Caenorhabditis elegans: one gene and its partner. The protein of the gene in region 1 purifies or fractionates together with the protein of each later gene. This does not show direct contact. Each region holds a gene or a part of one and is shown in the gene's direction. Other genes may lie near its edges.

Region 1 (16,581 bases):
CCGCGCATAAATCTAAAAATAAAGTTTCAAAAAACCAAGATCGAGTGGAAGCCTAAAAAAGCGGCTCCGAGCTAGAATACCTGGAGTCGACATATTTATTTGAAAGTACCGTCACATCACAGGTAATGTGGTTGATACCATAAATTCCCAGATTTTCAGAAATATCGATGCGGAACAAAAAAAACTCATTGCCACCCCTACTTTATTTTGATATTCATAGAAAAAAAGGAGATTAATTGAAAAATGTTGAAAGTGTAAAAATTCAACAACAAAATTCAGAAATCCTATTTAAAATGAAAATAATTCTTTTTGCGTTATTGATATTACCAAAGTTACCCGATATTTAACATTTTCAGATTACACCTAAAATACTTGGCCTCCGTCCAAACACCTACACTCTGACCAAAGCTTTAGCAGAGTCCACAATCGAAACCGAAGCAAAGGATATTCCAGTCATTATCATTCGTCCTTCGATTGTAGGAGCAATGTGGCAAGGACCGCTTCCAGGATGGACTGACAATATCAATGGGCCGACTGGAATCTTTGCTGCTGTAGGAAGAGGTGTTTTGACAAACATGTGTGGGAGCAGTGAATCAAAAGCTGATATTATTCCCGTTGATATTGTGGCTAACATGATAATTGCGTCAGCTTCATATAGAACATCGATCAAGTGAGAATAGTTTTAAACAAACTGTGAATTGTTTAAAATTTTGTTTTTTGTTTCAGCACGACAGAAATTCCTGTGATCCACTGTTCATCTGGTGAATTGAACCCTCTCTATTGGGGTCATATTGTTTTATTTTTGGAGCAATTCTACAAAAAGGTTAGTCAGAGTTTTATATAATAATATCTCCATTAAAGGAGGAGTACTGGTTATAAGTATTTAGCTTAAATAGACTTAAACTGGTTCAAAACGTCTTCATAATGAGACTTCACAAAAAAATTTCCAAAAATTTTTATGGCGGGTAAATAATAATAATATCAAAATAGAACCAAATTTTGCTAAAATATAAAAATTCGCAGATTTCTTTCATTAGATGAACTACCAAAATATGCATTAAAGGAGGACTAACGGTTTGGACGATTTTGAAAAAAAAAAAGGCCCAAAATAGACGGCAAACATTTTTTAAACGGCATTCAAGCTACTACCACGTAGAAAAGTTAACGAAATTTTAGAATTTAGCAAAATTAGTCTTTTTTTTCCAACATTTTGAGCCTTCATAAAACTATTTGTCAAAAATTTTTTTTGAGAAATCTCATTTTGAAATTTGGTCAATTTTGGCCAGTTTTAGTCAATTTTAACTAAATACCCACAAACTCTACTCCCCTTTTAAATAGTACTCTAATGTTTTTTTTAAATATATTTTCAGTATCCCATGGAGCAATGCTTCGCAGTTCCATCCACATATTTCCACAAATCACGTTCACTATTCCTTATAAACTATTATATCAAGCATCATATACCTGCTGCCATCTCAGATATTTCTGCTCGTCTTATAGGAAAGCGAAAAAAGTAAGTCATAAACGACGGAGAACAAGACCTACATAAATTTCTTATCAGCAATGTGAAGCTGTATTCGAAAGTGTGGAAAATGATTGAAACTCTACACTTTTTCACGACTCGCGGATGGAGTTTCAATGCACGTGGACTGCCAGAATTCTTTGAGAAAATGACACCCGCAGATCAAAAGGAGTACAACTTTGATGTTCGCCAAGTGGATTGGAACTCGTATTTATTCGATTATGTAATGGGTATCAAGAAGTTCCTTTTGAAAGAAAATCTGGAGAATCTTAACAGATCGAGAGCACATCTTTTGAAGTCAGTGATATTATTCAATATTGAAAAGTTATGCTGAATAATATTATTTCAGAATGCGCATTCGACGCCAAGTAATTGCAGCAATAGTTTACGCAGGATTTATCTCTACAATTGGAAGAAAATGGAAGAAGACTACTCAATATCTGACATGGTTCGGTGCTATGTTGGCAACATATACATACACTGAAGTCAGTTTCAGACGGCATATTCCTCTGAAATCATTGAAAGATTACACACAAACGTCGGATTATTCTCGGTATCTTCAAAAAAGCTAGAATCTTTTCAATGACGTCATTCAAATTTATTTTTCTTTTTTTTTGTGTGATTTTTTTATCTTTAAAAATTGATAGGATCAGAATCAAAAATCAGACATACAATCGTTATATTGTTTCAAAATATCAAGGTCGATAGTGTGTCTGTTGATTGTGATACGCACTCTCTCATCAACAATAACTTTTTTTCATTGTTATTCTCCGCTTAAAGGAGGAGTAACGGTTCTGGGTGTTTTGAACGAATAAATAAAATATATGACACTTCTCGTATTTTTTCCAAAAATTTTTTATGGCGGTTCAAAATTTTGACTCAAATTTAGCGAAAATCTCTAATTTTGGCCTGAAATTAAACTTTTGAATTAACGAAAAATGTGACACGGAATAGAAGCCAAACATTTTTTATGGAAATTTTGAAGCACGATAAAAAATATTTAAAACATTTTTGAACTCATTGCGGAATTTGTTCAAGGAGCACATTTTGGGTATATACGTTTCAAAAAAAAAACCCATAACCGTTACTCCTCTTTTAAAATTTACACATGCCTATTTCCGACAACGCTTTATATCTTTTTTTTTAATACTGCAATTTTTTTCACCAAATCTTCCATCTTCAATCACCTCCAAGTTTGTTTTCTACTTGTTATGAGCGAAAGACCAGTTTTTTTCTCGTTATTCATTTTATGTTTGACAATAAATAATGGTCAGTTCCACTTTAAATATTTATTTTTCCTATCAGTTTTGTTTCATGGCTAACCACAATCACAGTGGAGACTAGTAAACATTCGCAAATAGAAAAAAAAAACAACATCGGTGGCTCTTCTCGTTTTCTCGTCAATGGTTAGTAGGAAAAGATGAGAGTACTTTTGCTCGATGTGAGTGCGTGATATTTTAAAATGCGTGTTATTTTTAGAATTCATATCTTTTGATGAAATTATGAAAAGGAAAATGTACTAAGTTCGACGAATTCGGCAAATTTGCCGTGCTTAACAAACTCCGAAAAATTTGATGTTTTTGGAGAACCAATACTACTGAATTCTTAACACACATTGTGTCATTTTACAAAATTTTTGGGCAAATAATCAATAATTTTGGTCAAAATAGTATTGCCCAACTTTTGATGTGTGCTGCAAATTTCGAAGTTTGCCGAGTTCGGCAAATTCGGCAAATTTTTTTTCGGCAAACATGGCGAGCGCGGCAAACGGCAAATTCGGCAAATTTTTTCTCGGCAAACGGCAAATTCGGCAAATTTGCCGCACACCCTTGCCCTCTACTATATGTATATGTATGACATATCTTTCGGAGAATCTTTGCAACAACCTAAATTAAAACAACTTTATTGATACATATTTTAAAAAACTGTTGAAGAATTTTAACTTTTTGAAACATTTTGTACAGTTCAAAAAAGTTCTATTAATAGTAAGAGAAAACAGGCAAATTTTTACATTATTAAATGTACCAAAAATCACTTAACTATTCTCTTTCGAATTTCTCACAACTTGCCATGTAGACAAAAAAACGTTATCATAATTATTTTTTATGTGAGCTTATTTTGCGATATTTTGTCTATGTATCAAGAACAGTACTTGTGTACCTGGCCAAAAAAAAAATTAATCTTTTTGCAAATTTTATGTGACCATTTTTGTCCATATTAAGTTAGCATTAGCGTTTTTAAGGCTATATTTTTGGGCCGGGAATTCTGAACAAACATCCAAAAACAAAGTTTGTAAATGTTTTTGTGAGTGTTTTCCAATATCAATTGAAAAGTTTTGAACAACAACTTGCCACTTGGCCGTTTCGCACTGTTGGTTATGAATCCCAAAAACCTGAGGGCAGTGTTTACTTTTTCAACTTACTGTTTACTCGCATTAACAATCAACATTGTATTAGTTCCCTGCGTAGTCTCTTTTTTCAAATTTTAAGGAGTAGAGTCAGTGAGGAAATTTCTTTAACACACGCTACAGTGACCAAATGTTATGGTAATTTTTTAAAGTTTCAATTGATTTTTTGATTTTTTGAAAATTGGAAAAAAAATTAGAAAATTTTTTTGAAACTTTCTTTTATGATATTTGTCCATTGTGGTACCGTAGGCGTGTTTTTTTTTTAAATTTTTCCACTAGCTCTATTCATGTTTTAAATTGATTTATTTTTGATAACTAGACACAAATGACATGACGGATAAGAAATCAAATCTTTGTGCTCTCTCCCCGGCCCTTACGTTTTCTTCCTTCTCAATCCAAAATGCGTTTTGGCACGTCGAAAACATTGAGCAGTTGGAGAAACGAGGGGCAAGGCAGAAGGGCCGCGCTTTCGTTTTTTTTGCGTTGTCTTCTCTCGATCTCTTTCTCCGTGTTACGCATATTCTCTCGCACTTTGCTTCTGGCTGCTTAGTTTTTTTCCCTTGCTGAAGGCTGAAAAAGTGAAGAAGAAGAAAACACACCAATCATTCATTCAATCCAGTCGATTTGATAGGAAAATGTAATTCACAATTTTGGTTTTCATGTTTTGTTTCTGTTGTATAAATACATTCAGTTGTCTGGGTCCCCTGCGTCAAGATCAAAAGTGCATCCCCCCTCTAGGGGCTTCTTTCGTGTATTGCATCATGTGTACTTGCCATAGCATATTTCAAAGTCGAAACCTTTTATTTTTGGCTTTTTTCTACTTTTCTTTTTTCCCATGCGTTCGTCACACTCATTATTTACTCTGCATCTTTTCTCTCTCCATTTCAATCACTATCACTTCTCACTTGGCATCATTCATTGTTTTCTTATACCAAAGGAACTAAATAAAACGTTTGTTTGTTGAAGTTTCGGTATTATTTTGAACGTTTAAACTTAATATCTACTCAAATGGATTAAACTAATTCAATAAACTTTTATGGCGGTTCAAAATTTCGAAAAAACATGGCCTAATTTTAGTTAAAATCTTCAATTTTGGCAATACTTTTTTTTTGATTTTTCAATCCTCTGTTGCATATTTGGTCGTTCATCTCTTGTTTTTTTTTTGATTATAGTACAGTTAAAGCCGATAGGTGACCTATTTTTTTTTATTTTAGGTTACCTATCAGCTGTAAATTACGTATTTCCTCTAATAGTATATCATCCAATTACTTTACTCCAAAAGGATATATCTATGTTCGTTTAAAAAATATCAATAAACTGTCAACTGCAAATATATAGAAAAAAATAAAAATAAGTGTTTTTTCAGTTGATCAGTTTTCAATAAAACAAACGCCAACTGAGATTTAAGCTGTCAAAGTTGAGTAATGGAGTGCAATGTATACTACATTAGAAAAAATACGATGTATCCTAATTAACGAAATGAAGTCAAGCTATGCCATTAAATATAATAATTTGAAAAAAAGTTAATTTCTTCGGACCGATGCAACACGAAAAAATGGACAAAATTAGAGATTTTAGCTGAAATAGGTTTTTTTTTGAATTTTTAAATTTTTAAAATTTCAAACCGACATAAAAAATTTTGAAAAAAATTTGGAAGTTTCATTACAAAATTCATTGAATTTAAAATGTCCAGAACCACTCAATGCTCCTCCTATAAAAATAATAATTAAAAGTTGACCTTCCACAGGGTAATATGACCGCGCGCAGTTGTTTGTTTCTGTGTTTTCCTTGTTGTATCTGCGTCGCGCACTTTCTAACCACAATGGTCCCTGCCACACTGTATTACGCGCATTCATTGTCCGCATCGATTAATCAGTTTTTGCTTGTCAACATTTTTCTCTTGCAGTTCTCAGATTTATCCTTTTCTTCTCAAAATTTTTTCATTCTTCTCATCCCATTTTTCTCATCCTTCGTGTTAAATACTATTGTCATAAATTACAGAATTTTGCATAATTCGAAATGGACGCGGACGCATCAACAATCACGCCAGAAGAGCTCGACTTTATCCGTCAGCGAGCTTTGCGCCGCTTCGACTCAATCGTCCCAACTGCTGGAAGAGAAGGAACTGAGATTGCGTCGGATATTTTCAAGGGACGTACTCTCGCGATTTACACGTCCGGAGGAGACTCTCAAGGTACGAATGAATTAGGGCAAAATTTGAAATTTTGACCTGCCATGAAAATTTTGTGTGGAGTCTCCATATAAAATTCATTTCACTTTTAATAAAATTCAAACTTTTCCTTGTAAGAATACGTTTGAAACTTTATTTTCCAGGTATGAACAGCGCTGTTCGAAGTATCACAAGAATGGCTATATACTGTGGATGTAAAGTGTATTTGATCTACGAAGGATACGAAGGAATGATTGAAGGTGGAGATTTCATCAAGGAAGCCACGTGGAACACCGTTTCCGATATTATTCAGCAAGGAGGAACTATCATTGGTTCCGCAAGATCTTCCGAATTCAGAACTCGTGAAGGGCGTCTCAAGGTGAGAAAATAATTAGCCCAATAAAACAAATTTTTGAAAGTTTTGAAAGTTAAAATTAAATTTCCAGGCAGCCACCAACCTGATTAATCGTGGAATTGGTCGTCTTGTATGCATTGGTGGAGATGGATCTCTCACTGGAGCCAACACTTTCCGTTTGGAGTGGACCGATCTTGTGCAAGAACTTGTGAAAAATCAACGAGTCACTGCGGCGGCTGCGAAAAAGATTCCTTACATTCAAATTGTCGGACTTGTCGGATCCATCGACAACGATTTTTGTGGAACCGACATGACGATTGGAACCGACTCGGCACTTCAAAGAATTATCAGTTCTATTGATGCTGTAGTCGCAACTGCACAAAGTCATCAAAGGGCTTTTGTTATTGAGGTGATCTCAATTTATCAAGAAAATAATTCATATACTTATTTTACTCTAGGTCATGGGTCGCCATTGTGGATATCTGGCTCTAGTTGCTGCTCTAGCTTCCGAAGCCGACTTCTGCTTCATTCCTGAATGGCCGGCACCGGAAAATTGGCGTGACGTCTTGTGCGACAAACTTTCTCAAATGAGATCAGAGGGTCAACGTCTTAACATCATTATTGTCGCCGAGGGAGCTATTGATCGTGATGGAAAGGCTATCACCGCCGAGGATGTGAAGACTGCTGTCAAGGAGAAGCTGAAATACGATACACGCGTTACAATTCTTGGACATGTTCAACGCGGAGGTGCTCCATCTGCTTTTGATCGACTTCTTGGATGTAGAATGGGAGCAGAAGCAGTTTTTGCTCTCATGGAGATGACTGAGGTTTCTGGGATTTTCTGTGAATTTTTCATTAATGGTTTGAACGTATGAACCAATATGTTTTCAAATTAACAAAAATCTTAATTGTAGTTTTTTTCAGTGCCGCAGCGGCCCGAAGTTGGCTTTTTTGGATTATCGAACTTTGTCGTAAATTTTGTTCCTTCATCTCATATTATTTTGATAGTTAAGGTTAGGGCTTCCTTGTGAGAGAGGCGCGGCGTTGGCGCCTCCACGGGCCTCCCGCCGGACCTCCTTCACCGTCTGCCGCTGTTTCGCAGCTTGGCGTGAAAAGAGAAATTTGACGTGTGCGCAACGTAGTTCGCAAAGATGGCAGCGGTCGACACTTTGGGGGTTCCGCGCCGTACTATACCTGTGGCGCGATTTGCGGCGTGAAGCCGGCGCTGACGCCTTACCGGCGCCACATGGAAGCCCTAGTCAAGGTATATTTAAAACCGGTAGGTGACCAAAAAATGTCAAAAATTAGTAAATGCAATAAAAGATAATAATGCGCTCAAAAAATCAATTTCAGGCAGCTTCGACACCGAAAAAAGCTCAGAATTAGAGATTTTAGACTATTTTTTCTAACATTTTGTACAGTCAAAGAAAAAAGTTTGAACATTTTTTGCAAAGCTTCATAACGAAATTTACAAATTTTTTCGTTTATTTGAGCACATTTTGGGTCTACACTTTCACCGTTCAAACCGTTATTCCTGCTTGAAAGAAAAGAAGTATAATTTTTTTTTATTTCAGGAATCAGAACCTTGTGTTATCTCAATTGACGGAAATGTTATGGTCCGTGTGCCACTTCTCAAGTGTGTCGAACGAACTCAAATGGTACAGAAGGCAATGGCGGATAAGGACTGGACCACGGCTGTGATGCTTCGTGGACGCAGTTTCCAGAGAAATCTTGAAACGTACAAGTTGCTGACTAAGATGAGAACCGTCGAAAAGGACAATCTTTCGGAAGGACACAAATTCAATGTTGCTGTAATCAACGTTGGCGCTCCAGCCGGTGGAATGAATGCAGCCGTCCGCTCTTATGTTCGAATGGCTCTCTACCATCAGTGTACCGTGTACGGTATTGAAGACAGTTTTGAGGGACTTGCCAATGGGTCATTCAAACAGTTCAAGTGGTCCGATGTTACTAACTGGGCAATGAACGGAGGATCGTTCCTTGGCACACAGAAAAGTCTTCCAACTGAGAAAACTATGCCTCAACTTGCTGCTCAACTGAAGAAGCACAATATTCAAGCGTTATTGCTTGTTGGAGGATTTGAAGCGTATCACAGCACAATAATTCTTGCTGAAAATCGCGAAAAGTATCCCGAGTTTTGCATTCCAATGTGTGTCATCCCATGCACCATCTCGAACAATGTTCCAGGTTTGTTTTTCATTATATAAGGTTTTTAAACAATACATTTCTAATTTTAGGAACTATGGTGTCTCTCGGATCCGATACCGCGATCAATGAGATTTGCCAGATGATCGACAAAATCAAGCAATCTGCCACTGGTACCAAGAGAAGAGTTTTCATTGTCGAAACAATGGGAGGATACTGTGGTTACCTTGCCACTCTTTCTGCGTTGAGCTCCGGTGCGGATAATGCGTACATTTTTGAAGAGCCATTCACCGTTCAAGACCTCTCCGATGATGTTGATGTGATTCTCTCAAAGATGGAAGTTGGAGCGAAACGCTACTTGGTTGTCAGAAATGAGTGGGCCGACAAGAACCTCACCACAGATTTTGTGCAGAATCTTTTTGATTCTGAAGGAAAGAAGAACTTCACCACAAGAGTCAATGTTCTCGGACATGTTCAACAGGGTGGATCTCCAACGCCGTTCGACAGAAATATGGGAACCAAGCTGGCCGCTCGTGCTTTGGAGTTTTTGCTCATTCAGCTCAAGGAAAATTTGACGGCCGATAACAAGGTGATCGCCAAGTCAGCCCATACTGCGACGCTTCTTGGACTCAAAGGACGAAAGGTGGTGTTCACGCCGGTGCAAGATCTCAAGAAGGAGACCGATTTTGAGCATCGTCTTCCATCAGAGCAATGGTTAGTGGACAAGTAGTTTGTAGAAAAAACTATTCAATCTCTAGACTAAAAATAACATAATGGAATACAGCATGTCTGTATTCTTGTTAAATATCTAAACCATAAGTTTAAGGGCTATATGCAATACTCGTGGAGCACGATTTCCTCTAGCGTTAGAGCGCACTTTCTGACATCTTACAAACTCGCGCGGTAATTTGTTTCTATCAAAAATCAGTTTCTTTGGCTAGTTTTTGGCTCCTTTAGAAGATTTTTTTTCCGATTTATATTATTGTTATGATTTGTTAAACATTTTCGATATACAAATCGAAAGTGTGTAAATTTAGGAAATTTTGGAAACTGTATCATAACAGTCAGTTTTTCGATTTTAGGCCGGTATTTGGTTGATCATTTTGTAGAGAAGATGCATATTCATGAAATCCCTTGATTACTTATTGATTTGATTAGTTCTCAACATTTAAAATTTGAAAAAATCACGTAGATCTTTATAACTGTGTAATTTCAAAAATCATGAAGTTAATCACCGCCGGATATGAATTGTTTATAATTTCTGTGATGACTGTTTAAAAAAAAAACTTTCGTTCTCGGCCGTAAGAGCCCAATTTTACATGTTTGCCATTCGCTTAATGTTCCTCATAGTCAGCAATAATGTAAATTAAAAATTTGACAATAATTTCCGTAGAACCCAAAAAATATGTTTTCAAAAACTGATTTCCTGTGGAAGCTGATTCCCGCGTATTCGAGAATTTGTTAGTTGTTAGTAAGCGCGCTCTAATGACAATGAACGCTCCTGGACACATTCTGCGATAAATTTCAATTTAAAAATTTCAGGTGGATGGCTCTGCGTCCACTTCTCCGTGTTCTCGCTCGTCATCGTTCGACCGTTGAAAGTTCTGCAATTTTGGAATCTGTTGAAGAAGAAAGCGCCGACTCACACATGTTCTGAAAAGTTTTGATGTCTCCATAGCGACTACTTTTTTCTGTCTGTCATAATACTTTTTTTTGTGTGTTACACTTACTCGGTATTGTAAATGTTCTCATGGTCTATATTAAATCTTTGCTCGTCTAAATTGTCTCTTTTTACTAAGCTTCCATAGGTTCTCACAATTTTTTTTCTCGCCATTCTTTGCACAAGTTGATTGAAGTCTTAGCCCCTATTTCTTAGTAGTTGAAAATATGCCATGATGCAAATAAATGAAGTGTTTTAAAATATGTAGTTATTTTAAAAATATGTTTATTCAAAGTATTTTATCATTAGAACTGTTCCTATGAAAAGTTTTTTTTGTTCCAAAGCTACAGAGGTTTAAAAAAAAATCATCTAAAAGTAGACCCGTGAGATGTCCACCGCTATATCTCCAGTCAAACTTCTGTTGAAAATTTTAGGGGATCTGAAAAAGAAATCAGCAATATTGTGAACAACATTTTGATTAATTTCACTATAATATTTGATCTTTTTGGCACTATAAGTATAGACTATTAATTAATCTAAATGATATTTGTATTTGTTACAAAATCAAGACAAGAATCTTTAATACACAGAAATATATTTTATTTCTAAAAAGTATGTACAAAGTCCATATATCACAGTGAGAAACACTTAAATCTTCATTTTCTTGATCCAGTAACCGACGTCTCTGTGATAGTATCGGTCGTTGATTTTTCAGGCTTAGCATCAGCTGCAAAAGCTGGATCATCGAAGCCAGTACTAGCTGATCCACCACCAAACAATCCACCGGCTCCTGGAGAAGCAACTGGCGCAGTTTGCCCTACAGGTGAGTAGTCTGGTCCGACATTTGAACTACCTGCTCCAGGTTGCGGCATAGCTGGAACTGGAGGTGATGCTTGGAACCCGGTCTGTGATCCTCCTTGTTGTCCGAACCCGGATTGGTCTCCCTGGAATTGACCTTGACCTTGGAATCCTCCATTTTGCCCTTGGAATCCGCCAGACTGGCCTTGAAATCCTCCCTGTTGGAACCCGCTGTTTGGATAGTTTCCTCCTTGCTGGTATCCACCTTGCCCATATTGTTGAGGTCTACCATACCCACCTCCAGGTTGTCCATAACCACTTGGCCTTCCGTAGCCACCACCTCCATTGTGCCCATATTGACTTTCTGGTGGGGAATAGTTGCTTGGAGCACCATATGATCCACGTTTCACCCTTAAGATGATAAAGTCTTTAATTGTGAAAAGTGGAAATATACCTGTTCAGAATTCCGGCATTGGCAAATGCGACGAGGGCAAGAATACTAAGAGATTTTAGGAGAGAAGTCATTTTTTTAGAAACAAATGAAAGTGAGATTTGAATTTTAGGTAACTCGATCACATTTTTATATCAAATTGTTAGAAAGGCGTTATCAGTCGTAGTCGTCGAACACTACATCATCTTTTTGTCATATCATATCACTGCCGATGTTTTCATCCAATCAATGCGTGGGCGACGGGTGGTCACTTTCATCCTTCTTCGAGTTGGTCAGTTCACCAAATGTGTGTGTATGTGTCTTGTGGAGCGAGAATGAGTCATACCGGAATGAAGGACAAGGGGATGAATGATATAAATCCGAGATGGTAAGCGGATGACTTGGCGACACTTAATCTGTAACATAACCTTGACACGAGCGTTGTATTTTTCGTATTTTCTCCCTCCGAAATTGCCGTCTTTCAATTGGACACCATTTTGTTTAGACTCTCCTGTAGGTACATAATAGTTCACAAAAATGTCCAACTTTGTTGCAATTCTCACTGTATGTTTTACGATTTTTCCAATTTCTACTGAATCTAAATATATTCCAAATCGGTGAGTTTTCTGATCTTAAAAATGAAGTAGCGCCAGTGGGGAAATTATTGAAAAACCTTAATATGATTTTTTGAAAATTGGAAAAATCTCAGCTTTTGTCACATTTTTTGAAGTGGTGTTTTTTTTAGTTTTGTTTCAAATCACGAGGTTCTGGCTCGACCCCGCTCTCCATTGCACACCGAAATGGCGGGAAATTTTTATTGAATTCGCAAGAGGAATTTTCACGCGGCGCGTTGAAAAAGTGTAAGCATTTGCACATGACGGTGTTTGCACAAAATACACCGAGGGGTCGAACCAGAAACCCGTGCAAATGGTAATATTCAAACATTGTAGGGATTTGAACATGCGAGAGTTTTATAGTCTTCTCACAAAGTGGCAAAAACTCAATAATTGCCACTTTCTGACTGCCAATAAGAACATTTCAAATATTGTAGGAGTGGTTTTTGGCAAATTTCCCACTTGCAATACTGTCACTTTTTTATATGATATAGTCTTCTAATTTATATTATGTATTTGAAAAAAAAAAACTAAAATTTTCTATGTCTGAATTTCAACAAGTTTTCAGCCACTTTGTTAAAAATGACTGTATACTATAATATTATCTTTATCTTATCAGCTATTAGAAAAAAACAACCAAAGATTTCACGTTGGTCCTGTCAGATTGTATTTGATAAAATTTCAGGTTCCGCCGACAGTATGGCTGGGCAGGGTCACCATACTACGGAAATGCGCAGTATTACGAGACACAGCCGCAGCAACAGTGGTCGTCTCAATATCAGGTTTTTTTGAAAACCCACTTCACGGTTTTTGATTACTTCACTGTTGCAGAACAATCAAAACTACTATTCTCCATACTTTTACGGGTACCAACATCAGCAGACGTGGCAGAATTCAAACCAAAACCAATACCAGACATTGTACAATCGACCGTCATGGATCTCTGAGAACACTGGAGGCAATAACGGATATGCAACAGCGCCGCCAAGTTACAGTGAAGGAGGAAGTTATGCTCGGCCAAAGTATCTGGCAACAATGCAACCGAAGCCGACTATTTCTCCTGTAATCCTCGAACGATCCACAGTTTTTGTGACGCCAGAAACAGTGGGGTCAATTGAGAGTGGTGAAGATAGAAAACATCCAACATTTTTGGAACGTCTTGGAAGTGCAACTTTACCAATTGCTACAATTATTCCTGGATCGGAAGAACTAACAAGTGCCGAAGAACGTGGAACTTTGGGGAATGGGGAGTTGCTACCAGGGCGGACAGAAGAAGAAAAAGAAGAAGCGTCAATCGAGAATGTATCCACGATTCCATCCACAACAAGTGCAACTGAAAACACATCATCAGAGACTTCAGTATTAGAAAAAGACGAGATCACATCTTCTGAATTTTTTGCGACATCAAGTGAGACTACTGAAGCTCCAGAAACATCAACCACTACTGAAAAAGCGACAACTACGGAAATAACTCCAGTTTCTTCCGATAGTCCAGCAATAGAAAGTACGACGACTACCACAGCCTCTCCAAAAACGTCCACTACGCTTACACCAGAACCTATAACAACAGTACCTGCAAAGGATGTAAAGCCAGTTACACTTTTAGCATTCCAGGAAGTTAGCAATGAAGTTACTTCCAACGTCTCTAATGTAACGCAACCGACCGTAGATCAAAGCACAAGTGCTAACAATTTGAATGAAATTGGAGAAGGGTCTGGGACGGAGCCTCTTGCTACATCTGAGCCGCACCCTACTGAATCTAAATTTGTTACGGGAATTGTTGGACTGCGAGCTCCGCCAATGCCAAAAACCAATGAGAAGGTGGGACTTGAAGTTGTGGAATGGACGGATTCTGATAATGAAGTTAGAAAAGTTCTTCTTACTCAATGATTGTATTTAAATATTGTATCTATAAACTTTTTTCTCCACGTTGACACAAATTGAATAATAAATCTACTGAGCTTCATTTGTTTGTTCGTTTCTAAAACATGATTTGTTCAAGTGAGCCATTCTTGACTAAATTTGAAAAATCAGATATCTGCAAAAGTAAATCAAATGACACATACAATAAAAAACCATAATGATCATTAGAGGTGCAATACCGAAATCTGAGACTTGCTGCTTTTTAGACTTAAAATGACCCAAAACAGTTATGGCGGTTCAAAGTTTTTGAAAAAGACTCCTTTTTTTAGCAAAAATCAAATATTTTTGCCACCTTCTCAGTGTCACAGATTACATTTTCAGAAACTACATTTTTGTGCCTCACTGACCCAAAATGTATCTAAATCAAGGATAAGCGATCAGAATAATAATTAAAGAGTGATGATTAAATAAAAATCAAGTTCCTTTACGACACCGAGAAGTTGGCAAAAATTTTGATATTAGCTGAAAATGAGCCTTTTTTCCCGATCTTTGTACTGTCATAACTTTTTATTGAAAAATTTTCAAAACGTCTCGTTACGAAATTTGGTATTGTTGAGTCATTTTGAGTCTAAAAATGCAAAGTCTCAGATTTCGGAAGTTCACTTTTAAAATGTTTAAAACATTTTGTTATGTGACTATATATTTTTCTTTTTCTACAATTTCCAATAAGTTAGACGGCTACAAAAGTGTCAACTTTTTGGTTAAAATGCCCAGTTTTCGATAATTCACTAAAAAACGTCTTCAAAGCTATTGTAGCCGCATAATTGGAGATAACAATATTATTGAGCGAATAAAATATAAAAAATGATGAATACAAGAGGGCAACCGCTCAGTTTCACAATCTCCTCCTACACAGTAAAGGGGAGAATAACAGAGCAAACCGGAAGAATGTAAGTCACACACTATACCGGCAGACAGGCCGTTTAGATAAAACCATAGATAAAACATCTAGTGTGCACAGGACCACACAAGAATAGCACATTTTTAACGTTCTGAACACTAAACATGACTCCCTTGTTAAATATGAAGATTCCCAGAGTTTTGAAATTCGAAACTATATTTCACACATTTTTTTTCAATATAACGATGATTTTATAAAGAATGAAAAATCGCAAGATAGGTGTCTGAAAATCGAAGATTTTACTCATCCACATTATGAAACTAAAAAGACCACCTGAACAATCTCTCGGCAGGTGTATTTTTTTTGCTCTCTCAAAATGCAAGCGACCTTTTTGAAACACATCTGCTCTTTTGTTTTGCTGCAGGGTGTGGCTCACATCAATCTAATAATCAAAACACATCAAACGTGAGCCGTGTTGAAAAGAAAAAGGAGGGGAGTTAGACTGATTTTTACAAATCCCGATTTCTTCTCTCTTGAACCATCTCTCACCTGCGCCGACAGCAAATCGTCGGTCTCCTCATTCACCACTATCTTTCTCGTGTTCCATTATTTTTGCTGTTACTCTGGCTCTCATTTTCTTCTTCCTCACCCGGAGTATTATCATCAGAGGAATGATGATGCCTTCTTCTTCTCTTCCAAACCCTTCCGAACTCTTCACTCATTTCCGACTCGGCGACTCGTCTCTTTATTTTGACATGTTTAACCAACAACACACGTTTATACACGCCGGACCAACCATTTTGCATCCGTCCTTTTGACAAGACAACTCTTAATCTTTCTTTTCTTCTATCTCCACTTTTGTTTTTAGATCTTTCAGCTCTCACTTTTTTTCTCGTTTTGTGTCTATTTATCTAAACGCTATACAACAATTTCAGATGTAGAACACTACACATATAGTTGCAATTTGAGAATTCTGAGTGCATTATACATATTTTTATCAGCCTATCAAATTTTACAAAACTTTCTACTGTGATACTTGTACGTTGCTAACCCCGACCAATTAAACAAGATCTACCGTCGTTTTTTTTGTTTTACTACTGCTTTATCAGTGTCCATAGACGGCAAATGTTTCGTAGATCATAATTTTTATAAGTGTTATTTTTTCTTTATTTTTATAGGTTTTTGTGTAGCATCCTATTTACCAAGCGGCGGCTGAGTATCTAACGTAAAAAGTAAAAACATTCAAAGAAATTTTTTTTTCAAAATTGATATGATTTTTTGAACATTGGAGAAATTTCAGGTTTTGCTACTTTTTTTAAAGTCGTCGATCAAAAACAGATGTTTTCGTCAAATTTTGTATTTTACTATAGCTATTAGTATTCAGATATTGTAGGATTTCAAACTTGCGACAGTGCTATAGTTTTCTCAAAAAGTGGTTAAAACTCACAGATTTCCACTTATTGGCCGTAAATCAAAAAAGAAATTCAAACAATTTACTATGATACTTAATCATTATGGAACCATAGAATTGAATGTTAAAATTTTCCCCACTGGTGCTACTCCACCTTTTTTGTCTATACTTTTTTATTTTTAGAAAAATCCAAATATGTACACTTATGGGGTTATTCAAGTAATGTAGCAAAATGTATTTAAATACATTTGTGACGTCACAAATGTATTTAAATACATGTTTTTATA
Region 2 (15,603 bases), on another chromosome or scaffold:
AAAAAATTTGGTGTACAAGTGGCGCAACTGGGTAGAGGTTTAGCTTTGGAGCAGAGGGTCTCGGGTTCGACCCCCGCGGTGGTCATAATTTTTTGTTAGTGATTTTTCTAGAACTTGAAAGTTGTGAGGTGGGTGAAAATCTAACAAAAATCGATTTTTTTCGAAATTTTACAAATTAAGCCAACACAAACGTTTCAAATTCTGATGAATTTTCGTGTGAAACCATATGAAAAACTGAATTCTACGCAAAATTTGACGCATTGGTTTTTTTTTTCAAAATTTTTTTTTGTTGCACAAGTGGTGCAACTGGGTAGAGGCTTGGCTATGGCGCAGAGGGTCTCGGGTTCGACCCCACGCGGTGGTCAAAATTTTTTTTCATATATTTTTTCAGTGCTCTACCGTCGTTTTTCAATCAAATCAGGGTCCTGATCGATGAGCAACTCGATATGAAATTCGTGCTCGGCTCCTTGGCTCATTTCACGGCTCTCCTCAATCGAATTATTCGTGCATTTTGTCAAATCAATCTGGAAAATTGGGACTTTTTCGTGAACTTCCTCTTGTGGAGTGCTCCAGAACAAAATGGCTCCGCGATGAAGAAGTGACCAGTATTTGTGCCAAATTGGGACTTTTTTTGCTCTGAAAATTGGAATTTTTAGGTGGTTTTTCGGCGGGAAATTCAAAAATTCAAATTTTCAGTCACTTTTCGGCGGGAAATTCAAAAATTCAAATTTTCAGTCAATGTTTGGCGGGAAATTCCAAAAATTCAAATTTTCAGTCAATTTTTGGCGGGAAATTCAAAAATTCAAATTTTCAGTCAAATTTTGGCGGGAAATTCAAAAATTCAAATTTTTAGTCAATTTTTGGCGGGAAATTCCAAAAATTCAAATTTTCAGTCAATTTTTGGCGGGAAATTCAAAAATTCAAATTTTTAGTCAATTTTTGGCGGGAAATTCCAAAAATTCAAATTTTCAGTCAATTTTTGGCGGGAAATTCAAAAATGTAAATTTTCAGTCATTTTTCGGCGGGAAATTCAAATTTCTAGTCAATTTTTGGCGGGGAATTCAAATTTTCAGTCAATTTCCAAGTACCTCTCCAAAGGACTTGCAGAATCGTGTAAAATATGAAGAAATCCTCGATATTCCATATCAATTGCATCAGGAAGTGATGTGCAGTGTGAATTGAGCTTCACAGTTCCCTCCAGCGGATAAATGACGTCATCCAAATAGAAGCGGCGGTTATCGCCCGACGAATCGCGGTCCAACGTTAAATTTCCGCAAAGTTGGAAGTCACACGCAGGTGACGTGGCATTTTGTATCGATTTTTGTGGCGTGGAGGTAGTCGGGCGGCGGTGAGCGGCTGGAATTTGAAATTTTTGAAAAAAAATTTTTTTTTTTTTTTTGGAATTTCATCCTTATTTCCTAAAACAAATAAAATTTCCAAATTACCATTGCTCGGCACCAGCAAATTCCGCACTTTTTGTGCCAAAAACGCGGCGCACGTCTTCTCAGGTGGTCGGTGCTCGGGAACTCGCTGAAAATTCCAGATTTTTGAGGTATTTGTATCTATTCGTGTGGTAAGACACCTAAAAATTCAGAATCAGTAAAAAATTTGAGGCCGGGGGGCCTTTTTTTTTGAAAAAAATTTTTTTTTGTGTACCAGTGGCTCAGTGGGGTAGAGGTTAGACTCTGGCCCAGAGGTCCGGGGTTCGATCCCCGCTGCGGTCAAAAATTTTTTTTGCTACTCTCCAGTGGTGGGTTAATTAGTTTTAAATCATTTTACGATGTTTTTCTTGGTAAAAACCGATTGAAACTGACTTTATTGGCTAAAATTTTCAAAAACTGATTTTTTACGATGTTTTTTGAGCGGTTTTAATCAAAAATTAGAACTCTACGCAGATTTTCAGCTTTGGTACTTCTTTTCGAAAAAAAAAAAATTTTTTGTACAAGTGGCTCAACTGGGTAGAGGTATGGCTACGGCCCAGAAGTCCGGGGTTCGACCCCCACTACAGTCAAAAATTTTTATTTTCTGTTGTCAAGCATTACCATCATATAAATCTCCATTCCAATGGTAAAATCGACGGGAAGATTGGAAAAACGCAAGTGTTCACCGAAAAGAATGAAATTTTGCGGAGTTTGGAATTGAGCCAAAAGGGTAACGACACCGGTTGCCTCGACTTCTGTACGGCATTTGAGGAGCACAAGGAAAGCGTAAGAGCCGCCTGAAAACACAGAAATTTTGAATTTCCCGCCAAAAATTGACTGGAAATTTGAATTTTGGAATTTCCCGCCAAAAATTGACTGAAAATTTGAATTTTTGAATTTCCCGCCAAAAATTGACTGGAAATTTGAATTTTGGAATTTCCCGCCAAAAATTGACTGAAAATTTGAATTTTTGAATTTCCCACCAAAAATTGACTGGAAATTTGAATTTCCCGCTGAAAACCGATCAATGTTCGGTAGAGCATACTTGCAGCAAGTGCGCTCCACCGAAAATCAATTTTTTTTTTCGGCGGGAATTCAATGTTTTGGAGTTTTGTGTCAAAAAACCACAAATTTTTTCAAATTTTTAACTAAAAACGCAGAATGCGCGCTAATTTAATTCTGAATTTCGAAGTGCGCTCTACCGAACATGTGATCAATTTTTGGCGGGAAATTCAAAAATTCAAATTTTCAGTCAATTTTTGGCGGGAAATTCAAAAATTCAAATTTTCAGTCAATTTTTGGCGGGAAATTCAAAAATTCAAATTTTCAGTCAAATTTTGGCGGGAAATTCAAATTTTTAGTCAATTTTGGCCCAAAAATCTCGAATTTAGACTCAAAAACCACGTACGACTATGGAAATGCTTATTAAACTGAAGCGAAATATTCGAAATGACCATAGTCGATTTAAAATGTCGATTAATCGGTGGTGGTGGATGCCTGACAACAGTCATTGCCTGAAGCCTCCGAACTTCTTCCAATTGAACTTTCAACCGTTCTCTACAAATTAGCAAAACCCGTTGCGACGCGAGTTCTTGCATTGGACATTTCGATTTTTGGGCTTCAAGTAGTGAGTGCTCGGCGAGCAAAATGTGATGTCGAGTTTCATCGATTGAATTGAGTAGGCGGTTCATTTGACGGCGCGAATCCGTCGCGTGATGATCTACTGCCGACCAGTTACTGATTGAGCTCACGAAGGAATCCTGCGCAAAAAATTGATGTAAAAAAATCGATTTTTTACGAAATTTTACAAAATTTTAGTTCAAAAAATTGATTTTTAAAGAAATTTTTTTGAAAAAACGTTTTTTGAATCGAAATTTTTCAAAATTATCGATTTTTAAATGAAATTTTTCTCGAAAAAAACGATTTTTTTTTAGAAATTTCTTCGTTAAAAAACAAAAAACAATTCACTGATTTTTTCGAAAAATTCCATTTTTTTACGGAATTCTACAATAAAAAATCGATTTTTTTAAACGAAATATAATAAAACTTTTTTTTTTCGAAGAAAATTTTCAAAGAAAAATCGATTTTTTTACAATTTGGAGAGAAAACCCTTTTTTTTTGAAATTTTGAATTGGTTTTTTTCGAAAAAATGGATTTTTTACGAAATTTTCGAAAAAAAAAATCGATTTTTCAATAGATTTTTTTCCAAATTTTTGAGAAAAATTCGATTTTTCACAAAAACCACTAAAAATCTTTTTTCCAAACGGGGATTTTCTCAATTTTTTCACTGAAAAACCCGCCAAAAATCTCAGATATAATCCACCTGAAAAGCCGGTGGTGGTTCCGAGTGTTTCGGCGGCCGACACATTGCGGGTTTCGGTGTCGAAGTGGCAAGTGCAATCGGTGCCTGAAGCTTCTTCACAACAATTTTGAGTGGACCCCCCGCGGAGCCCGACGAGCATCGATATTCAACGATGGGCTCTCCAGCGGCATACGGTGTGAAAAGCGTGGGCGAACTCGTGAATTTCGGCGTTTTTGGGCACTCAGGGAGCTGGAGAAGATTTTCCTGATTTTCTGGAACTCCAGAATCTTGAAATGTTCGGTTTAGGGTGCTCTCCTCGTCGTACTGCTGGGATTCCAGATTTTCAGAATTTTCAGCATTTTCCAGCACCTCATCCAGCACCAGAAGCTCTTGGAAACTGCAAAAAATATCGATTTTTTACCGATTTTTGACGAAAATATGCTCGTCGCCATTTTGTGGGCTCCAGAATATCGATTTTTAGGGAACATTTGACTGAAAATTACAAAATTTGAGCGAAAATAGCTCATAACCGTTTTGTGGGCGTGGCCTGTTAGGCTCCGCCTTTTTTTTTTTGAAATTTTGAAGTGTCAATTTGTGTTTTTTCCTGCAAATTTTTTTTTTTTTTTTAGTATTTAGATAACAAGCTCCACCCATTTGGTGGGCGTGGCCTGTTAGGCTCCGCCCTCTTTTTTTTTGAAATTTTGAAATTTCAATTTGTTTTTTTTGCTGTAATTTTTGTTTTTTTTTAGTATTTAGAAAATAAGCTCCGTCCATTTGGTGGGCGTGGCCTGTTAGGCTCCGCCCTCTTTTCAGGCAAGAATATCGAATATTAGAAAATTTTTGACTGAAAATCCGAATTGATTTTTTTTAATTGATTTTTTCGCAATTTTTGCCGAAAAATCGCTAATAACCATTTTGTGGGCGTGGCCTGCGCGGCTCCGCCCCTTCTTAGGCGAGAAAGTCGAATTTTCGGTAGTTTTTTACTTAAAATTCGATATTTTAACAAAAAAAAGTTGGGCAATTCAAAAAATTGTCTCAAAAACCTCAAAAATTTCTGCAAATTTTCGATTTTTATAGGAAAAAATTAAAAATTTGAATTTCGCGGCTTTTTTTTGGACATTTTAGATTTTTTTTTAAAGGAAAAATGTCAAAAATGGCTACAAAATTTGAATTTTTTTCGAATTTATAGCATTTTTGCCGCAAATTTTCGTACTTTGCCACGTCATCATCGGAATTTTCGAAATTTTCAGATTTTTTGGAAATTCCAACGTCATCAGCCACGTAGAGCTCCTCTTTATCCATTTTTTGGGCCAAATTTCGCAATTTCAACGGTGTGGCTCCATATGGATAGGCTCCGCCCACATTTGGAGCATTTTGAGCATTATTCGAATTAAAAACGACAGCCTGGGTGCCACGACGACCATGAAAATGACGTTTTTCGTACGGTGAGATGTATTTTTCCGATTTTTTGGCGAGAATTTCCGGAATTTTGGAGGATTTTGAAGTTGGCGGTGGAGCAATGTGTTCTGGAAGAAAAATGGGTTATTTTTGGCGGGAAATTTCGAATTTTGAAGATCATTTTTGAGAAAAATGTGAAAAGTTGGAAAAACTTGAATTTTTTTTTCGAAAAAAAATTTTTTTTGCAAAAAAATTATCGTTTTTTGGAATTTTTTTAAAATTCGCTCAAAATTCGTAAAATTCCCAATAAAAAGTGAATATTTCGAAAAAAAATTTTTTTTTAATTTTTGAAAAAAAAAAAAATTTTTTGAAATTTTTTTTAATTCTTAAAAAATTTAATTTTTTTCACAATATTCCTTAAAATTAGCTTAAAATCACAAAATTCTAAATTTTAGCGATTTTTCCACCGAAAATTACAGAATTTTAACACAAAATCCGACAATTTTGGTGGTTTTGCTGGAAATTTAGAATTTTCCAGAGGTTTTTCCGTTTTTTCAGGATTTTTTAGAGAAAATTTTCGAAATTCACCAGAAACTCAATGGTAAATTGCCAATTAAAATGAAAATTTTGAAAAAAAAAATTTTTTTGAATTTTTGGAAAAAAAAATTTCTAAAAATTAGTTTTTTGCAAATTATAACTATTTTCTCTGAAAAAGTCCAATTTTGCAAATTTCCACTCAAAATTCAATTTAAACCATAATTTTCATCCGAAAACTTGCGAAAAATCCCATTTTTTCTGGATTTTTCCCAAAACTTTTGGGATTTTCCGATTGTTTTTTCTAAAAAATCAATTTTCCATGTAAAAACTGTATAGTTGGTGTGTTGACAGTGCAAATAAATTAACAATACATGTGAATTTATAAATTTGCATTTGAATAGGAGAAATACCGGGGGAAATGGTTTTTTTTTCTCATTTTCCTCAATTTTTCTCAATTTTCCCCATTTTTTTCCAGTTTTTTCGCATTCCCCTATCGATTTTCTCAATTATCGATTGATTTCCGCACCATTTTCAAGACTTTCAACCCTTTGCGTGGGCGGAGGTGGGGGCTTCTGCTCCAGCATGCCGGAGCACTGATCGAACGCGGCGACGAGATCACGAATTCGGCCGCGTGGCACCGGTTTGCGCCACGTAGCATCTGACGGTGGTGTATCGACGATCGGGTGCGGCATCCAGCGGTAGAACTGGAAAAAATTCGGATTTTTTGTGAATTGTATCGATTTTTCCGGATTTTTGCCCTACCTGACTTGATCCGATTGGCACCGGAGTTGGCGGCATCGATTTTCCGTCGAAATTCTCCATTTTTCGTCAAAAATCTCCGAAAAAACGGCGAAAAACCGTCTAGAAATCGCAAAAATCGATTTTAAAAATTCAAAATTCCATCGAATCCCTCACATCACTGAATTCGTGGCGAGACCTATTTGAAGTTTTGAGCTATGCGCCTTTAAGAAAAACCGTAGTTTTTTCGCGAATTATCGCATTTATGCGGAATTACGGCGAAAAAGCGAGAATAATCGAAGAAAATGCGATAAGAATTGATAAAAAATGATAAGATTGTGTGCATTATTCAGGTGACAGATTGATTTTTGCCCAAATGTTGCGTTTTTTGCGACGAGAAATAATTCATATATTTATTTAGTTATTTTAAGTTTAATTTTTTCACTTTAATAACATTACGCTCTTCAGAAAAAAGACAACATGACTGTGGACAAGGTTAAGCTGGTCATTGGTGAGTTAAACGGAGAATAAAAACAAATTTAAACCAATTTTTGAGTAAAAAATTCTATAAAATTCGTTAAAACTCGAGTTTTTTCTTTTCTTTTTTAAAATTTCTACTTTTCTACGTTCAAATACACCGAAAACGTATTAATTCCGAAGATTTTCGTTAAAACACTGGAAAATTCGAGCTTCCCGCCAGAAAACTGAGTTTGTCATTGGAGCGTGATTGCATTGCTTGGCGATTTAAAAAAACGAGTCTAGACGCTTCAATAATCGATTTTTTCGGATTTTCAGATGATAAACGAGAATTCTAATTTAAAAAAAAACAAGAAGTCTTCAAATTTTCCACTTATTTTCGTCAAAAAACACTTGAAAATTTGAAATTAGCGTCGGAAAACGGACTAGTTCACTGGAGCGCGCTTGCTTAGCGAGTTTTATCGATTTTTAAAGTTTTACATAAAGTTTACCAAATTTTAAGCTTTAAAAACAAAAATTAATCGATTTTCAGACTCTGACGGTGTAAGCGACGACGTGCGAGCCATCTCCCTAGCCTTGCAGCACCCAAAAGCCGAAATTCTCGCATTCACCGCAGTCCACGGCTGTGTGACAGTAGATCAAGCCTGTGCGAACATCAAAAGAACCATCCGAGCCAACGATCGGAGCAATATCCCAGTGTACAAGGGTGCGGCTAAATCGATTTTGTCGCTGCCGAAGGATGATACCGTATCCGATTTTTTCGGGATCGATGGGATCGGTGATAAGCCGGAGGAGTTCCCGAAAGTCGAAAGATCCGATTTTGAGGGGGAGGGGAAGCATGCGTCACTTGCTTTAATCGATATTTTGAGAGAGAATCGGGATGCCACTTTGGTGTAAGTTGAGGCTACAGTAACCCTTCTGTACCCCCACCGCATCCCTACAGTACCCCTACAGTACCCCCACAGCGACCTACAGTACCCTTGCACTATCCCTACAGTACCCCACAGTACCCCTGCACTATCCCTACAGTACCCCACAGTACCCCTGCACTATCCCTGGTACCCCGGACAGTTCCCCTCTAGTATTCACGCAGTAGTGTTACTGTATCCCCACAGTTCCCCACTGTGCCCTTGCAGTAACACTACAGTATCCCTACAGCAACTCTACAGTAACCCTATAGTACCCCGACAGTACCCCAACAGATCCCCTACATAACCCTACAGTACCTCTGGTAACCGAACAGGTACTCACACAATAGTGTTACAGTACCCCTACTGTTCCCCCCACAGTACACACACAGTAACCCTACAGTAACCCTACACTAATTCCACTAAAGCCCTATGGTACCATAACTGTATACCTACAGTATTTCTACAGTACCCCTACAGTATCCCTGGTACCTGGACAGTTTCCCTACCCTACCCCAATAGACCCCCTACAGAAACCCTACAGTACCGCTTCAGTACCCCTACAGTACTCCTACAGTACCCCTACATTACCCCTATAGTACCTCAACATTACCCTTTTAAAGTCCTACGGTACTCCTACAGTATCCATACAGTCCTCCTACATTTTCGCCTACGCCGAGCTATTCTGGGTGTCAAATTTCGATTTTAATCTATTTTTGCTCAATTTTCCCTAAATTTTCAACAAAACCATTTTTCAGAACCATCGGTCCCCTCACAAACGTGGCGATTGCTCTCCAACTCTGCGAGGAGTTTTCGACGTACCCATCCCGGCTGGTAATCATGGGAGGAAATTATTACGCGGTCGGAAATGTTGATGGAGGTAGGTTCTTCAAAAAAAAAACTAGGGTGGACCACTTTGGCGGGCCATATCTCGTTTCATTTTTGAGATATTAGAAAAGTTTCAACTATAAACCTGTTCAGAAACATGTAACAAACATTTCATCAGTTAACAATTTGTTGACAAACCCAAAACCGACGGAGATACAGACCCGTCAAACCCCAAAAAGCCCCCCTAATTTTTCCAGGTTCCTCAGCCGAGTACAACTTCCACGGAGACCCGGAAGCCGCGAGCATTGTGCTCCGACGTATGAAGTGTCCCATCACCATTGTTCCATGGGAGGCATTCTATTTTGAATCAAAGACCCATGATGCTTCAGTTGATTTTTCGGCTCATTTGAAGTATGGAACCCCATTGGCTAATTACTTATCGCTGGCCACCAGCATTGGTAAGGTTTTTTAAAGTTATAACTCGAAAACTAGGGTAGATACTAGATACCAAAAAAAAACTGTCAATTGGAAAGTTGTTCAGCGTAAAATTCTGCATTGATTTGACCCCCATGTCGATAATTTTCAAATTTTCGAATTTGACACTTAAAATTGCTCGCGGAGCTCCTAGCCTTTCCCAATGCTTCAAACGTATTGAAATTTCGTTTTTCGGATAACCCGCAAAATCCTACACCCAGAAAACTCAACTTCCAGCCTTAGCCAGCAGTTTTGTAAAGGGGTCGAAGTGGCTCAACTGGGTACATGTACGGCTTTGGTGAAATAGGTCCGGGCTTCTCGAGGCCCCGCTAGTGTGTCAATAATTTTTTTAGAGTTCGAAGGTCTGTAGATTAGTCAACAAGTACATTTTTTTTTTAGAGTTCCTAAATTCGATTTGTATGTTCCAGGCCGCGTAAAATGCGAGGCCAACGGCCGCCAATACTCCTACTGCGACGAGATCGCTGTGGCTACTGCAATCGATGAGGATAAAATTGCAAAAAAGTCTCAGTACCTGTATGTCGATGTAGAGCTGAATGGAACAAAGACACGTGGGCAGGTTGTGGTTGATTGGACCGAGCAACTGTGGTCGAATGAGGAAGCTCCGAATCAGGTGAAAACAAAAAATCTGGGGTTCTGTATAGTTTTTGAGGCATAACTCGGAAACTAGAAGAGTTATCAAAAAGTTGCCAACTGAAATGTTGTTCAGCGTGAAATTCTGCATCGATTTGACCCCCATATAAAAAATTTTCAAATTTTCAAGGTCGATACCCAAAATTGCTCACGGAGCTTTTAGCTGCTCATGGTGTTCCAAACTTATTTAAAACATGATTTTTGGGTTCCCCGTAGTATTCTACATCAGGTACGGTTGAATTCCAGCCTTAGCCAGCAATTTTGAAAATGGGGCGAAGTGGCTCAGGTGGGTAGATTGATGAGGCTATTGTGAAATAGGTCAGGGGTTCGAATCCCTTTGGGTTTATTAGTATTTTTAATGTTATATACAATAGATATACAACACTCAGACAGTCCAAAATCTAGATATTATCAATTTTTTGTTTAATAAACCAATTTTCAGCACACCCATCGCCGTGTCAAATTCGTCACCTCTTACGACGTTCATACTGTGGACAAGTGGCTTCATGCAGCCACTTCTGGAAGTGGAAAATTCGATTAACTCTTTAAAACTGTAAAATGTCACATTTATTGCTCTTATTTATGGTGTGTGTGTGTGTGTGTTGAAATTTGCAATAAAAAGTTATTTTTTAATGAAAATTATGACTTTTTCGAAGCATAACTCGAAAACTAGAGTAGATATCAAAAAAGTGTCAACTGAAATGTTGTTCAGCGTAAAATTCTGCACCGAATTGACCCCCATTTAGAATATTTTGTAATTTTCGAATTTGACACCTAAAACTGCTCGCGGAGCTCCTACCTGCTCCCGGTGAACCAAACTGGCTGAAAATCTGATATTCAAAATAACCGTGAAATTCTACACCAGGGACACCTAAATTCCAGCTTTAGCCAGCATTTTTGAAAAATGGTGAAAGTGGCTCAACTGGGTAGATGGACGGCTATGGTGAAAAAAGCCAGGGGTTCGAGTCCCCGCTAGTGTCAATAATTTTTCCAGGGTAATGCAACATGCAGGCAGATGTTTTAATGGAGAACATCAGAAATTTCAGCTGAATTTCGCAAATTTCAGGTTTTTCAAATAGTTTTCCGACTAAATCGCAAATAACTGAAAAACTAGAAGAGTTATCAAAAAGTTGCCAACTGAAATGTTGTTCAGCGTAAAATTCTGCATCGATTTGACCCCCATATCAAAAATTTTGAAATTTTCGAATTTCACTTCTAAAATTGCTCACGGAGCTCCTAGCTGCTCCCGGTGCTCCAAACCAGCCGGAAATGTAGTTTCCTAGTTTCTAGTAAAATTCTACATATATAAAAAACTCAAATTCCAGCCTTAGTCAGCATTTCTGAAAAAGGATGGAAGTGGCTCAACTGGGTACATGGACGGCTATGGTGAAATAGGTCCTAGGTTCGAGTCCCCGCTAGTGTCAATAATTTTTACAGAGTTAGTTGGCCCTCAAAATAGTCGAAAATCTAGCAATATACTATGTTTTTCGCGAAAAAATCAATTTATTGTTCTTCTACTTAACAGAAAACGGCTAAAAATCACACAATTTCAACAAAAAATGGGTAATAGGTAATAAAATATGAGTTGAAAGAGAAAAAAAGGGAGAGCACCGGTTTCATTTTGTGTGAGAAGTGAAACTTTTCGTGAAATTTCCAAAAAATTGAGCATTTTTCGGGAATTTTCGGGGGTAAAAATTGGGGGATAAATATGAATTAAAGCTTTGAAAATATTAATTTTTGGGTGTCAATTTGTGTCAATTTCACTCGTGTTTGTCCTGTTCCGCAGCGTCGGCGACCATTTTTGCGAAGGCGCTGTTCTTGTCGGCCATTAGGGCGTCCGGTGTGTCGAATTCCAGAATTGAACCCTTATCGAGCACCATTATTCTGGAAATTTGGGATTTTTCGGGGTTTTATGAAAGGTAAAATGTGGGGGTTTGCGTTGGAATATTCATCGGGAATACCAACAAAAAAAAATTTTTTTTTCAAAAAATTCCAGTTTTTTGGGTAAAAAATCCCAATATCAGCGGAATTTTTTGAAGATTTTAAAATATTTTCCAAAAAAAATTTCGATTTTAATTCATTTTCTGAAAATTTTATTGACTTTCAGACAAAAATTTCCATTTTTAGCCACTTTATTAAATCAATAAATCGTAAAAATTCGATTTCAATAGAAAAAATCGATAAATCAAAGAAATTAAATTCAATTTATCAGAATTTCAGACATTTTCAGACAAAATTTTGGTAGAAAATTGCGATTTTTACGGACTTCTTCAGGCAGTTTGGGGTAAAATCGAAAAAAATCAGTATTTTTTTTTCAATTTTTGATTTTTTTTAAAGAAGTAAAATTATCGATTTTTTGGGAAATCGATAAATCGCAAAAAAATTTTTAGATTTATCGATTTTTCATAAAAATTGAAAAAATTATTTGTTTCAATTTCGATGCTAATTTTTAAAAAGTCAATAAATTTAACAATCTTCGATTTTTAAAAAATCGATAAAATTCGATTTTGCTAGAAAAATCGATAAATCAAAATTAAAGTCAATTTCTTTGAATTTCAAGCATCTTAAGGCGAATTTTTATGTCGAAAATTACGATTTCCACGGTTTTCAGTCAGTTTTTGGTTAATTTTTCGAGTTTTTGGAAAAAATCTATAAATCTAATTTTTTTCCATTTTTTCATAAAAAATCGAAAATCGGAAAAAAAAAAATTTTTTTTCGATTTTTTTTTCGAAAAATCGATAAATCTAATTTTTTCAATTTTTAATATTGAAAAACGATTTTTTTTTTCGATTCTAATAAAAATCGAAAAATTCCCGATTTTTATAAAAATCGATAAATCGATAAAAATTAGATTTATCGACTTTTCAAAAAATTGAAAAAAATTGTTTTTTTTTTTCAGTTTTCGAAAAAATTAAAATATAAGATTTTTATAAAATTCGAAAAATCACAAAAAAAATTAGATTTATGGATTTTCAAATAAATTGAATTATTTTAGGATTTTAAAAATCGATAATTGTAAAGGTTATCGATTTTCAAAAAAAATCGATAAATGGAACAATTTTCGATATTTGAAAAATCGATAAATTAATTTTTTAAAAACTCGATTTTAATAGGAAAAAAAATCGATTTATGGTAAAGTTATCGATTCGATTTATGGTAAAGTTATCGATTTTTGACAAAAATCGATTTCAAGCATTTTCAGACCAAATTTCGGTCGAAAATTACTATTTTACGGTCAATTTTCCAGATTTTTCAGTCAAAAATTCTCAAATTTTCAGTCTTATTCAGTAGTACCTATCATAATCCATGATAGTATTCAATCGATGCGCAATCGTGAATACTGTACACTCTTTGAACTCCTCTCGGATAGTCTCCTGAATCAGAGCATCCGTAGCCACATCGACAGCCGCCGTCGCTTCATCCAACACTAAAACCCGAGTATGCCGGAGTAGAGCCCGAGCCAGCGCGACCAATTGCCGCTGTCCAACACTCAGATTCTCGCCGGCTTCACTGATTTTATAGAGAAGACCGTCTGGAAGACCGGCAGCGAAATGTTTCAAATGAGCAAGTTCCAGAGCTCTCCAGATTTGATCATCGGAATAAGTGAAGAATGGATCTAAATTGAAACGAAGAGTTCCTGAGAATAATACAGGATCCTGTGGAATAATTGTAATGTTAGAACGAAGATCGTGAAGCCCGATTTGAGAAACTTCAACGTCATCGATCACAATTCGACCGCCGGCAGCTTCAATCATTCGGAAAAGGGCCAATGCGAACGAGGATTTACCTGGAAAATTGGGATTTTAGGGGGCATTCAGTGAGAAAATTTGAATTTTTCGCCAAAAATTGACTGAAAATTTGAATTTCCCGCCGAAAATTGATTTTTAAAAAACAGGAAGAAAGTGGGGGGCGGAGTCTATTCTACAGTACCCCAAAAAAAAATCAAATTTCAGATGTATTTAGGCTCCGCCGCCCACTTTTTATCGGAAAACAATTCAAATAATTTGGGATATTATACGTTTGCCTAAATAATACCATTTTCAAGAGTACTGTAGACTTGGCTCCGCCCACTTTAAACCCAATATTTTCAAATTTTTTGATTAAAAAAATAAATTATTACAATATCGGAAAAAAACTTTAAAAAAACAATTTTAATATTACACATTCGTCAAAAAGTGGTTCAAAAATTTTACGAATGTATAATAAGAAAAAAATTGTTTTTTTTTTCGGATGGGTACTGTAGAATAGGCTCCGCCCACTTTACCCTTATTTTTTGTGTCAATTTTTGGGGGGAAATTCAAATTTTCTGTCAATTTTTGGGGGGAAATTCAAATTTTCTGTCAATTTTTGGCGAGAAATTCAAATTTTCAGTCAATTTTCGGCGGGAAATTCAAATTTTCAGTCAATTTTTGGCGGGAAATTCAAATTTTCAGTCAATTTTTGGCGGGAAATTCAAATTTTCAGTCAATTTTTGGCGGGAAATTCAAATTTTCAGTCAATTTTCGGCGGGAAATTCAAATTTTCAGTCAATTTTTGGCGGGAAATTCAAATTTTCAGTCAATTTTCGGCGGGAAATTCAAATTTTCAGTCACTTTTTGGGGGGAAATTTAAAATTTCAATACATTTTTGCATCACAAATCACAATTACAACATCTGCAACCTACCCACCATCATGCCACCGGATTCCTGTTATTAATTTTGGATTTAAGGGGGTTTTGGTTCGAAAAGCCAATTTTCGTGGAAATTGACTTAAAATTTTGACAATTTTTTTGATTTTTTGATTTAGGCCAATTTTCGACCAATTTTTAATTGAATTTTGGGTCAAAAAATCCGAATTTTTTGGTATTTTCAGTCAAAAATTTCCAGATTTTCTCCCTACCTACCCGCTCCAGTTCTTCCAACAATTCCAATCTTTTCTCCAGCAGCCACATCAGCTGAAATATCATGAAGTACGAGATCCAAGCCTTCACGATATCTTGTCGAATATCCATCAAATTTCACAACTCCACGGCTCGGCCATCCTGGAGCAGGCTCACGGCCTTCAATTCTCCATGGAGCCTCATTTGGAGTGTTAGTGTACTCATTTACACGTTCAACTGACACAATATTCGCTTCGATTTCCGAAACTTGACGAACCGCGAAATTCAACACTTCTGTGATCTACAAAAAAATTTTTTTTTTGAATTTTAGGTGAAAAAATGTGAAAAATACAGTTTTCGGGGCTAAAAATCGAGTTTTTTCACATAAAATTTGAAATTTAAACCAATTTTTTCCAGATTTTCATCGGTACATACATTAAGTGCATACGATACGGAGACACCAATAACACCGGGACTCGTAATCCATCCGAATTCCTTTGATAAAACTGCGAAGAGGGCGGCGAAGAAGATCTGTTAAGACCGAATATTATTATTATTATTGTTGACTACTTTTTTTTGCGGGAAATTTGAATTTTTGAGAAAATTTAATGTTTTTTGTAAAGAAAGCTAATTTTAGGAGGAAATTTGACATTTTCTTTAAAATTTTCACAAAAATTTGAATTTTTGCCGAAAAATTCAAATTTTTTCAGAAATTTTTTTAATTTTTAATTTAAAAAAAAGAATTTTTTTGAGAAAAATTTTGGCGCGATATTCAAAATTTCTACAGAAGTATTGCCGGGAAATTTCATTTTTGGAAAAAAAAAACTAATTTGCGGAAAATTAAAATTTTTTAAATTTTCTGAGAAAAGTTTTGGCGCTTTTGGATGAAAATGTCAAATTTGGTGGGAAAATTTTCAGCTGGAATTTCAATTTTTTTTTTTAGGAAAACAAAATTGTGTCCTAAAAATTCTGGCGGCAATTAACAAAAAAAAACATTTGAAGAGCATTTT

The links.
Region 2: the proteins of pfk-1.1 (region 1) and Y43F8C.13 fractionate together in Caenorhabditis elegans (co-fractionation; one large-scale study listed by BioGRID). This does not show direct contact.

The regions. Positions count from the first base shown.
Region 1 is NC_003284.9:2,934,942-2,951,522, forward strand, and holds pfk-1.1 (ATP-dependent 6-phosphofructokinase 1), read left to right. Parts: upstream 1-5,930; 5' UTR 5,931-5,948; coding exon 5,949-6,123; intron 6,124-6,263; coding exon 6,264-6,478; intron 6,479-6,545; coding exon 6,546-6,863; intron 6,864-6,912; coding exon 6,913-7,281; intron 7,282-8,028; coding exon 8,029-8,659; intron 8,660-8,709; coding exon 8,710-9,331; exon of another isoform or gene 9,332-10,159; coding exon 10,160-10,274; 3' UTR 10,275-10,537; downstream 10,538-16,581. Other genes in the region: fard-1 (Fatty acyl-CoA reductase), read left to right, coding at 357-670, 727-823, 1,371-1,513, 1,562-1,819, 1,872-2,094; Y41G9A.10 (Prion-like-(Q/N-rich)-domain-bearing protein), read right to left, coding at 10,934-11,486, 11,530-11,600; Y41G9A.5 (Prion-like-(Q/N-rich)-domain-bearing protein), read left to right, coding at 12,043-12,122, 12,805-12,901, 12,951-14,009. UniProt on the Caenorhabditis elegans protein: Catalyzes the phosphorylation of D-fructose 6-phosphate to fructose 1,6-bisphosphate by ATP, the first committing step of glycolysis.
Region 2 is NC_003283.11:19,688,660-19,704,262, reverse strand, and holds Y43F8C.13 (Nucleoside hydrolase), read left to right. Parts: upstream 1-6,864; 5' UTR 6,865-6,876; coding exon 6,877-6,907; intron 6,908-7,405; coding exon 7,406-7,766; intron 7,767-8,539; coding exon 8,540-8,661; intron 8,662-8,866; coding exon 8,867-9,067; intron 9,068-9,511; coding exon 9,512-9,714; intron 9,715-10,176; coding exon 10,177-10,275; 3' UTR 10,276-10,363; downstream 10,364-15,603. Other genes in the region: ani-3 (Anillin-like protein 3), read right to left, coding at 400-636, 1,089-1,356, 1,446-1,530, 2,043-2,218, 2,830-3,181, 3,745-4,120, 4,937-5,249, 6,185-6,362 and 1 more; Multidrug resistance protein mrp-7, read right to left, coding at 11,495-11,618, 13,029-13,521, 14,618-14,894, 15,029-15,124.